2 linked regions of the Drosophila melanogaster genome follow. The protein of the gene in region 2 interacts with the protein of the main gene of each other region in a pairwise test. Each region holds a gene or a part of one and is shown on either strand. Other genes may lie near its edges. The genes, in order: CG10274 and Tsp42Ec.

What was found.
Region 1: the proteins of Tsp42Ec (region 2) and CG10274 interact in a two-hybrid assay, tested with the Drosophila melanogaster proteins (one large-scale study listed by BioGRID).

Annotation. Positions count from the first base shown.
Region 1 is NT_037436.4:6,178,116-6,183,700, forward strand, and holds CG10274 (uncharacterized protein), read right to left. Parts: upstream 3,715-5,585; 5' UTR 3,653-3,714; coding exon 2,734-3,652; intron 2,680-2,733; coding exon 2,066-2,679; intron 2,001-2,065; coding exon 942-2,000; 3' UTR 562-941; downstream 1-561. Other genes in the region: CG7376 (uncharacterized protein), read left to right, coding at 1-92, 150-310, 367-529; D19B, read right to left, coding at 4,302-5,585.
Region 2 is NT_033778.4:7,004,553-7,009,152, forward strand, and holds Tsp42Ec (tetraspanin 42Ec), read left to right. Parts: upstream 1-1,889; 5' UTR 1,890-2,020; coding exon 2,021-2,080; intron 2,081-3,173; coding exon 3,174-3,365; intron 3,366-3,428; coding exon 3,429-3,875; 3' UTR 3,876-4,070; downstream 4,071-4,600. Other genes in the region: CG30160 (uncharacterized protein), read left to right, coding at 666-917, 982-1,146, 1,219-1,470.

The sequences.
Region 1 (5,585 bases), on a different chromosome or scaffold from region 2:
AGGCGATTCTCATTGAAATTGCCAGAGCGCTCAGTCTCAACGGCATTCAATTCCGCAATAAGTGCACAAATAAGGACTTTGATGATTTCAAGGTTTTTATCTTGCTGTTAAATTTAATTTATCACTGCTAAACATTTTTCCTCCTTTAGAATCCGTTGAGCAATGTTACCTGTCTACTAATGCCACTGTCCAAAGGCTCAAAGGGTTTGAACCTGATCGAAGCCACACATGTTTTCCTCGTCGAACCCATTCTAAATCCGGGAGACGAGCGCCAGGCCATAGGTCGTATTCACCGATTTGGGCAAAAGAGGTGAGTGCGCGCTATTGAAGTGAAGTTGCTGTCAGTTTCAATACAATTGTTTTTAGACCCACGAAGGTGCATCGTTTCATTGTGAATGAAACGATTGAGGAGAATATTCTATCGCTAATTACTTCAGCCGATGACACGACTACGCTGTCGACCCACTGGGATCTGGAGAACATGACACTAGACAGCCTTAAGAAGCTATTCATACTCAAGGAGGAGTAAAACTTATGAATTTAAAACAAAAAATTCCGATTAGATTTAAGCTCTTAATAGGGCAAATTTATTTTTTAAGCTACTTATAAACAATCTTTATATATAAATATATAACTGCCACAATCAATTCATCTATTGAAAAGATGATATTTGACATGCAACCTCTCCATTCAGACCAGAATCATTAAACTTAAGTCGAATTCACATAGGTATTCTGTGTTCTCCTGAATAATGTACAGTATTATTTGTACTACAGTTAAGGACATTATATTAAATAGTATTAAAGAATATTTTCAGCTTAAAACTATATCATATCCATCTTACACACACTGTTCTCATAAGGATTATAAGGTATTGCTTTTCATAAAAAAAACCCAGGATTGATTTACCATCTGTGACAGCGTTAAACGCTGGCCAAATCTCAGACATGATCGATTTTTAAAGCATCCAAAGTGGTGCCATCGGCATGTGCTTTTTGAGCGTAGTAGCCATCGTAGGAGCTTTGCGCCTTGTCAACCTCCTGCTGATGCTGCAACAGTTGCAGTTGCTCGTAGGCAGCCTCCTGAACCTTGCGGCGCTCCTCCTCCGCCAGTCGCTTTACTTCGTTCTCTTCAAACTGCTGCGCCTGGAGTTCAGCGGATGCCGCTGCTCGCTCCGCCGCTGCCTCCTGGTACTCATCGTAGGAGTGCAGGCTGCGGTCACTACTTTCAAGCTTGTGCAGCGACGATAGCTGCTCCTTGGCCGCCTCCGCAATTTCGCGCCGCTTCGCATCCGCCTGGCGCTTCGCCTCTCGCTTGCTGCGTTCCTGCTCTTCCAGCTCCTCGCGAGCGGCATAAAACTTGGGCGAAATGACGGGTGGACGGTTCTCGTGGGTGCGCTGGTGGCGCTTCAGCGCCGTCTCCTGGCGGAAATGGGTGCCGCAGGTCTTGCACTCAAAGGGTTTCTCGCCCGTATGAATCCACTCGTGATGCCTCAACGTTTGAGCCTTTGCGAATCTTTTGGGGCAAAAGCGGCAGGCAAAATCTTTGACCTTTTCGTGGATGATCTTATAGTGCCGCTTCATGTTTCCGATATTGTTGAATCCCTGACCACAACCGGGGCAGATATGTTTGCCCTCCTTCTTGGTAAAGTTCACCTGCGGCGACCACGACGGCACTGAAACAGAGGGTATGGGGTTCACAGCAGTGCCAGCCAACTGCGCCAGATCCACTCGTTGTACACGGCGTGGATCTTTGGGAATGGTGGCCACGGATTCGGCGCACACCTTAAGCAATTCGTCGGCAGCGTTTCGGGACATGATCGGCTCAATGGATATGCCCTCAACTGGTGGCGCGGGTGGATTGTCGAACTGTTCACCAGGCGTCTCGCCCATTTCCACCTGCCGCTGGCGGTAGGTCTCAATAGCACGAAGCACACGCTTCTCATGAGTCTTCAAGTGCTTGGTCAGACTCTTAGGATAGAGAAACTTCTTTCCACAAACCTAAGAATATTAAAAACAAAACGTTGCAATGACGACGCTGGCTTAAAATATCTTTCTACCCTTACCTTGCACTCACAGCGCTTTTCCCCCGTGTGCGTCATCTCGTGGATCTTGCAGGCGTGTGACTTGCCAAAGGTCTTTCCACAGTATTGACACGCATAGTTTTTGATCTTCTCGTGCACGATCTTAATGTGGTTGGCCAGGCTCTGCTTATTGTGCGATGCGTGCTCGCATATGTGGCACTTGAACTTCTTCTCCTGGGTATGCGTCAGTATGTGTGTGTTCCATTCCTGCCTGGTGGTTTTTCCCACGCCACAGTACGGACACACGTAGTTCTTAATGCCCGCATGCCGCATCAGATGATCCTTTAGAGCACTATTGATTACGAACCTTTTGCCACAGATGTTACAGGGGAAAGGCAACTCCTTGCCGTCGTGCTTGTACATGTGCTTCTTGAGCGCCATGGGACAGCGGAATACCTTCTCGCACTCGGTGCAAGGGTAATCCCGTGGGGGCGCCGCTGCCTTGGTGATGCCGTGCATCTTCTTCATGTGAAAGGTGAGCAGGCGTATGCGCGGAAAGGTCTTGCCGCAGCCATCGACATTGCAGGAGTGCACCTCGGATAGCTCCGTGTGGGCGTGGTCGATGTGAAGTCGTAATCCTCCAGCGGTGGTGAAACCTGTAAATGCCAGTGATCAAAACGAGAATGCGATTTGGAGCCATCATTACACACCTTTCCTGCAGGTTTCCACTTTGCACTGGAAGGGCAGCAGGTCGTTGTGGTGCTTCATGTGCTCTTCGTAGCGGATGGCCTTCTTGAACTTTTGGTGACAAATGTGGCAGTCAATGATGCGGTGCAGGTGCCGTTCGCCAGGCGGAATCCTCTTGCGTCGACTCTTTGACTTTTCTCCGTCCTCGTCCTCCTCTTCGGAGCCTGTTGGGAACTCTTGGTCCTCTTCCTTAATTACGGCTGCCTTTGCTTTTGGTATCATCCGCGAATTATCCCGTAAGCGCTGGGCCAAAGGCACATCATCGTCACCATCGCTACTGTTGGGCTCAAAGTCCACATCTTGGTCAATATCTTCTTCGCTCTCCTCCGAGGATTCCGCGGCAAAGATGGTCATCAGATCGGCGGCGTCCAATTCATCTTGCTTCACTTCCTTCTCCACCTGCTCGGCCTCCTTGTCCACGTGCTCCAACATCTTGAACACATCCTCCTCGTTCTCGATCATCTCCATTTTGTGATCCAGTAGCGGATCGAAGTTGATACGATCCTCCTCGTCCTGCCCCACCAGCTCAGGCTCGTTCCCCGCCACGTTGAGCAAATCAAAGTTTTTCATCTGCGCACTCGCTGGCGGGCAAAAGACGTTCCTGGCCACCATGTCCTGGAACTTTTGCACCGAGTCCACGCACAGCTTTTGGAACTCGTGCATATCGTCCAGCCGGCTGAAGCATTGCGCGCACAGACACTTGGGGAAGCCATCCGACTGCTCCACGGCCAGCGAAGTGCAGACACACAGTTTCTTGGCCAATCCGGGTATCAGGAACAGGTCAAAGGATCCTGCGCCGCCGCCATTCTCCGGCAGGCGATTCAGGCAGATGCGGCACACCGCGTGCACCGAGTACTGGGCTGCCTCGGCCTCCTCCTGCATGATGCCTGTTCCAGGGGGAATCTGCTGGCCAAATCCGCGGAATATTAAGCCGAGAAAAACTTTACGCGTCAGACGAACCAAAACAAATACCAAAAAATACCCCACAGTGATGCCAAGTACAAACAGTTATTTAATAGCTAAATTATTAAACCGGCTAGAAATATGGATAGCATCAATAACAAATTTCAAATGTTTTAAAAAATATGTGCCATTTTAAGTGTGATTCTTAATAAATGTATGTATTAACCTAAATTAAATACGTAGTTTTATATGTGTCTCATATAAGTTGCATAGCTAGTGGAATGTAGCTAAAAAACAGACGAGTTGGCAGCATTACAGCTCACCTCTGTCTTGTTTACCAACAATACCCGCTTACCAGCACTGGGGCGAATTTAAAATTCAAATGTTCAATACTTATTACTGTTTATTATATTAAATCATTGTTAAATGAATACAATTAGTAAAGTACAAACTTAAGCAGTTTAAAGGGGGGATTTAAATACAAAAAAGATCAAATTGCAAAGTGACGAAAACTAGTTGGTAATCCTTAGAGAACTATAACTCATATGTCCTTCATAGAAACACATAATGAAATGATCGGAAACGGAGGCCGGGTTTGCTCGCAAGCATTTCCGTTTGATTCTGCCGCTCAAACATGATCCAACTTCAGTGCGTCCACTGAGGTGCCCTCCGCCTCCGCCTTCTGCGCGTAGAAGCCGTCGTAAGTGTTCGACTGCTTCTGCAGCTTGTTTAGCTGCTCGAAGGCAGCCTCCTGGATCTTCCGGAGCTCCGCCTCCGCCTTGCGCTTGGCCTCGTTCTCCTCGATCTGGTAGGCCAGCAGCTCGGCGGTGGCCGCTGCCCTTTCCGCCGCCGGATCCTGGTATTGCTCGAAATTCTTCGGCTGCTGGCGCTTCACCGCGGTGCTGGACTCCGCCTTGGGTCCAGCCGGCTCCTTGGGCTTGCCAGGCGGACGGGGCGGCTTGTCGTGCACCTTCATATGCGTCTTGAGCACCTGCTCCTGCCGGAAATGCTTGCCGCACACCTTGCACTCGTAAGGCTTTTCGCCAGTGTGTATGTACTCGTGGTGCCGCAGGTACTGCTTCTTGGCGAATCTCTTCGGGCAGAAGCGGCAGCAGAAGTCTTTGACCTTTTGATGCACCACCTTGTAGTGCAGCTTCATGTTGCTCACGTGATTGAAGCCCTTGCCGCAGTCCGGGCAGATATGCTGGCCCTCCTTCTTGGTGAAGTTCACTTGCGGCGACCACGAGGGCAGGTTGACCGATGGAATTGGATTGGCCACCGTTCCCGCCAACTGAGCAATGTCCACCCGCTCGACGCGACCACGCAGGTGCGGACTGGGCTTGGCTATTGTCGAGGATCCACTGGCCCCGTCGCCCATTAAGGCATTGGTCCCCTGCGTCTTGGGCAAATCACGCTTCTCGTGCGTCTTCAAATGCTTGGTTAGGCCCTTCTCGAAGAGGAACACCTTGCCGCAGATCTTGCACTCGCAGCACTTTTCGCCGGTATGACTTCTCTCGTGAATCTTGCAGGCGTGCGACTTGCCAAAGGTCTTTCCGCAGTACTGGCAGGCAAAGTCCTTGCGCTTCTCGTGCACCACCTTCACGTGGTTGGCCAGCGCCTGTTTGTTGTGGGAGGCGTGGTCGCACTGCCGGCACTCGTACTTCTTCTCCTTCGTGTGGGTAAGGATGTGCTTGTTCCACTCCTGGCGCGTCGTCTTGCCCACTCCGCAGTACGGGCACACATGGTTCTTGATGCCCGCATGGCGCAGCAGATGGTCGCGCAGCACACTATTGATGGGGAAGCGCTTGCCGCAAATTTCACATGCGAAGGGCAGCTCCTCGCCCGTGTGCTTGTACATGTGCTTCTTGAGGGCAGTGGGGCAGCGGAAGACCTTCTCGCACTCCGTGCAGGG
Region 2 (4,600 bases):
TTGAGCTATTTTATCTATGAAGGGCACATAGCCGTTTTGTGAATGTCAATGGGAAATTATTCCGCCGTGGAAACCCCAATAGTTGCCAAAATCTTGTTGAAGTTAGGCTGGGAGTGCACTCGCTAAAAGGTTTATTGCTCGATTGATAGTACATAAATCTAGGCGATAAGATCGGGGACTCACGGGGAAACGGACTCCAAGCAACGTAATATGTGAGTCAGCGTGCACCGCGTACTCTTGACTGGTGATAAGGCAAGGTGTGGAGGGTGTGAATGATTCATCTTATGAACGATCTAACGCCCCCAAGATGGAATCGCACGAGGGCTAGATAAAATTCCGCCACCAGCAGTTTGCACCTACCATTCGTTGAATGAATCATTGCGCCAAGGATGTAATTTCCCAGGTTCGGACCACCACAATGATCTGGTATCTCGTGGGTGCAAAGCGATTCACCAAGTACAAGTACATGGGCATCGGAGCTTCCAGCACAAGTACATACGGAATTTTATGGCCGAGATAAGAGCGCAGCCGATAAGATGAGGACTCCGAGTAAGCTTTAATAGCCGCGTTCTGTCCGAGGGCCCATTCAGTTAGACGAACATCGTCACATCGAACGAACGGATTATCCAGCTAGCCAACGAGAAACCCGAACAGAACCCAGCACCATGAACTGTCTATCCGCGATGTTCAAGTACCTGCTGTACTTGCTCAACCTGGTGTTCGTGGCCGGTGGCATCCTGCTCATTGTGGTGGGCTCCATCATGCTCTCCACGATGGGCAACTTTACGGCCTTCGACGGAGGCGTTAACACCCAGACCATCCCGATCTGCATTATCGTCATCGGAAGTGTCACCTTCGTAGTGGCCTTCTTCGGATGCTGCGGCACCATTCGCGAGAACGCCTGCTGCACCACCATCGTAAGCACTCGGAAATCACCCACTGACCGAAATTGGATTCTAAATGACTTGGCATTCCTTTCAGTACGCCATCTGCATGCTGATTCTGTTCGGCCTGCAACTGGCCCTCTCCATCTGGATCTTCGCGGCCAACGACAAGTTCCTGTCCAGCATGGGCAAGGCAGTGGACAAGGCGTGGGATGAGAACAATGCCGCCCAGGGATACCCCATGGATGCCCTCCAGTTGGCCGTAAGTTTATCGAAATTCACCATCAGATGTCATTAGTTTTTTCCGGATATTTACGTATCTATTCCATTGCAGTTCTCTTGCTGTGGCAACACGGGATACCAACAGTATGAAACCGTGCCCAGCTCCTGCTGCGGCTACAAGGATCGCACCAAGGTGTGCGAAGCGGAGATCTACAGCCAGCGACCTGGCTGCCGGCAGGAGTTCGTCGATTTCTGGGCCTCCAATACGGACCTGATTCGATGGAGCAGTCTGATCATCGCCCTCTTCGAGCTGGGCATCTTCATCATGTCGTGCTGCCTGGCCAGCGCGATGAGGAAGCGCTAGAGCCGAAGTCAGATACAATCCTTAGACGTAGCCCAGTTCATAGCATAAATCCAACACACGAATTCCTCACTCACTCACTCACCGTAAATAAACCAGAATAGGTTAAGCCCAATGAAATATTATTGCTTATTCGCTGTCTACCTCTGGCTGCCGTCTATCTAATCAAGACAGGTTGATGTTTTTCCAAAAAGTATGTCCTTATCGGCCTGTTAGCCGAGTGCCGCGTTTCCGAGATCGAATGCCCTCAGTAGTGGTGAATCACCTCCATATGGCAATGGCTATCGATCTCCGCCCGCCGCCCAGTGCCCATTATCTATTTTTCGTTTCGGCCATGATTATGATAACAGGCACTTGCGTATCTTTCCTCCGATAGCGCCCGTGTCTGTTGGCCAATTTAAAAACAGTAGCCCATCTGGAGGAGCAGTCCAATCGAACGACAGTAAACGACGCGAGTGCGCGATAAAATCAGAGACACCGACAACTCCTTTGGATAAAACAATAGTGTTTATTTAATTCTACTAAATACAGGAGCAAACTATATACTTTCAAAATGGGTTGTCTATCGGGAATAGTCAACTTTATTTTATATATTGTCAATATCGTGTTTTTGGTAAGTGCTTGTCGGTTGAGTATCTAAGTAAAAGGAATTAATAATGTAATGAGACGTGTAACAATAGACCAAACACTACTGGGTGCAGATCCCAAATAGGTTCCAATTATGGATAACTTCATACTCTCCAATTACTTGTGTTATAATGAACTTCCAAAAAATGTCCATTAATTATGTTAATTTATTTATCAAACTGTAGATGTTTATTTATTTGCATATAAGACCTTCTAGCTGACTTCTGTCATTCATTAATCAAGTCATATGCAATAAATATTTGTGCAACAAATATCGAACATGTATTATTTAAAACAAGTGAAATGAAATTTGAAAATCCATAAATTACGCATCGGTCGCTTCCTTTCGATTGTCTTTGAGTCACAAGGTTTAACACTATTATTCATATAAATGTGCTGGCATAGATAATAATATCTATCTGTAATGCAAGTGTGGACGGACATACAGAATTTTATCAGTTGATTGACATTATCAGTGTTTTGTAATATAAGTAATGAGCCCAAAATGAGCTTCAAAGGGGGCACACATGCACACAAGTTCACATTTTAGCAAGGCTAAGTTGGAGTGAATAAAAGATCATTTAGAGAATAAACTAAGGAAATACAACAAACTATTATTTACAAATGATTTATTATTTATCCAAATAAATGTGTAGTTACTCGCAGTATTAACGCAGCTAAAAGATACATTTTTCACCTTAAGAATTATGCCAAAAACAAGATAAAGGTGATTAACGTTTGTTTTTTTTATCAGCTACGTTTTTAAACTAGCCATATCCGTCTGATTGTGAATTTCATTAATTTGTATGCAAGTATAAGACTTGATTATTCACTTTGTTAATCACTTTGTCAACTTAAAGAATCAAATGAAGAAATTTAAGTAAATCTTGGTCACCGACATCCTGAAGGCTATTTTAAAAGCTCATATCTTAGTCCAGTTTGCGGACAAGTTTTCAGTACATAGATATTCCCGGATAATTAGAAGTCCATAAAACATTCATTATAATGTGGTATGCTTATGACCATAAAACTGTTAGGCAACCAGAGATGCCTTCTAGTAATACTCCGAATACTTCCAGATCGTTGGCATCCTACTGATCGTGTTGGGCTCGATCATGCTGTCCGATCTGAGCCGCTTCGATGTCGCGGGGAGTGGGACGGACCCGAACACCATCCCCATCTGCGTCACCGTCCTGGGAGGCCTCATCTTCGTGGTGTCCTTCTTCGGGTGCTACGGCATTTTTCGGCAGAGTGTCTGCATGACCGGCGCGGTAAGTTTGCGTGAAGAGCATATCCCAAGGAATTCGAGCTAATTGAAGTTGAATGCTTTGCAGTACACCAGCATGGTTTTTGTGCTCTTTATCCTGCAACTGGTGCTTACGTGCTGGGTGTTCGTGAACCGATCTGCCTTCCTGGGCGATATGTCCAATCTGGTTAACTTGCTCTGGGACTCCCATGACTACACTGCCATGGGCGTTCTTGAGGAAACCTTCGGCTGCTGCGGTGATACGAGCTATACCAACTACAACAACATCGGCCTTTCGGTTCCCGGAACCTGCTGCGGCTACCTGGACCGCCAGGCCACATGCAACACCCCCTCGGTCTACCAGTCGAGGCCCGGCTGCAGCGCCAAGTTCGAGGAGTTCTGGAACGACAACATGGACATCATCCGCTGGTCCGGCCTCGGCCTCTGCATCTTCGACCTGGTCGTCTTCCTCATCGCCGGCGCCCTGACCAACTGCATGCGCAGCCAGAACGCAGGTCGCCAGGTGTACGCCTAAACTTGTGAGGAACAAGCCAAAGGCCAAAGGATCTACATATGTCTACTTATGTTACCATATAACAAACTGTTTTTCGAGCCGTGCCAATATTAATATATACGTCTACATTTCGCCTATTTATCAGTTACTACTTATGTTATTCTTTATACTCTTTTTGGAGCAATGCCAATATTAATATATACCGCTACAACATTTACCATTACTCGTCTTTCTTATAAGGATAAATGGGTTATTTTACCAATTATGATTTTTCTAACTGGCTTAAAACTTCTAAAGAGTATATTTGTTCATCTATGTTTTCCTACAGAATGTGCAGTATTTGAGGCATACACTTAGGCTGTTTTTTTTTTTTTTTTTTGATTGCCCTAATGTTTTCCATAAGTTGGAAAATTTTGGAGAATTGCTGTTATGTTACGCATATGTTAAGACAATAACATTGACCTGAATGTGATAACATTAAATTTCCCTTATTAACATTTGGAACATATCCAAAAAATTCCAATCGCTCCAACTAAGTAACATTTAACAATTTCTCCAATTTATTATGTGACATTCTCAACTTTCAAATAGAAATTTCAATTGTGACTAGATAATGCTACTAATACTAATTTCAAAGAGAATTAGCCAATCCAAGACGAAATCAAATAATATTATTATATTATTATATTATTATTATTAATAATAGCTTTGTAACCCTGACTAAATCATTGACAAATGATTAACGA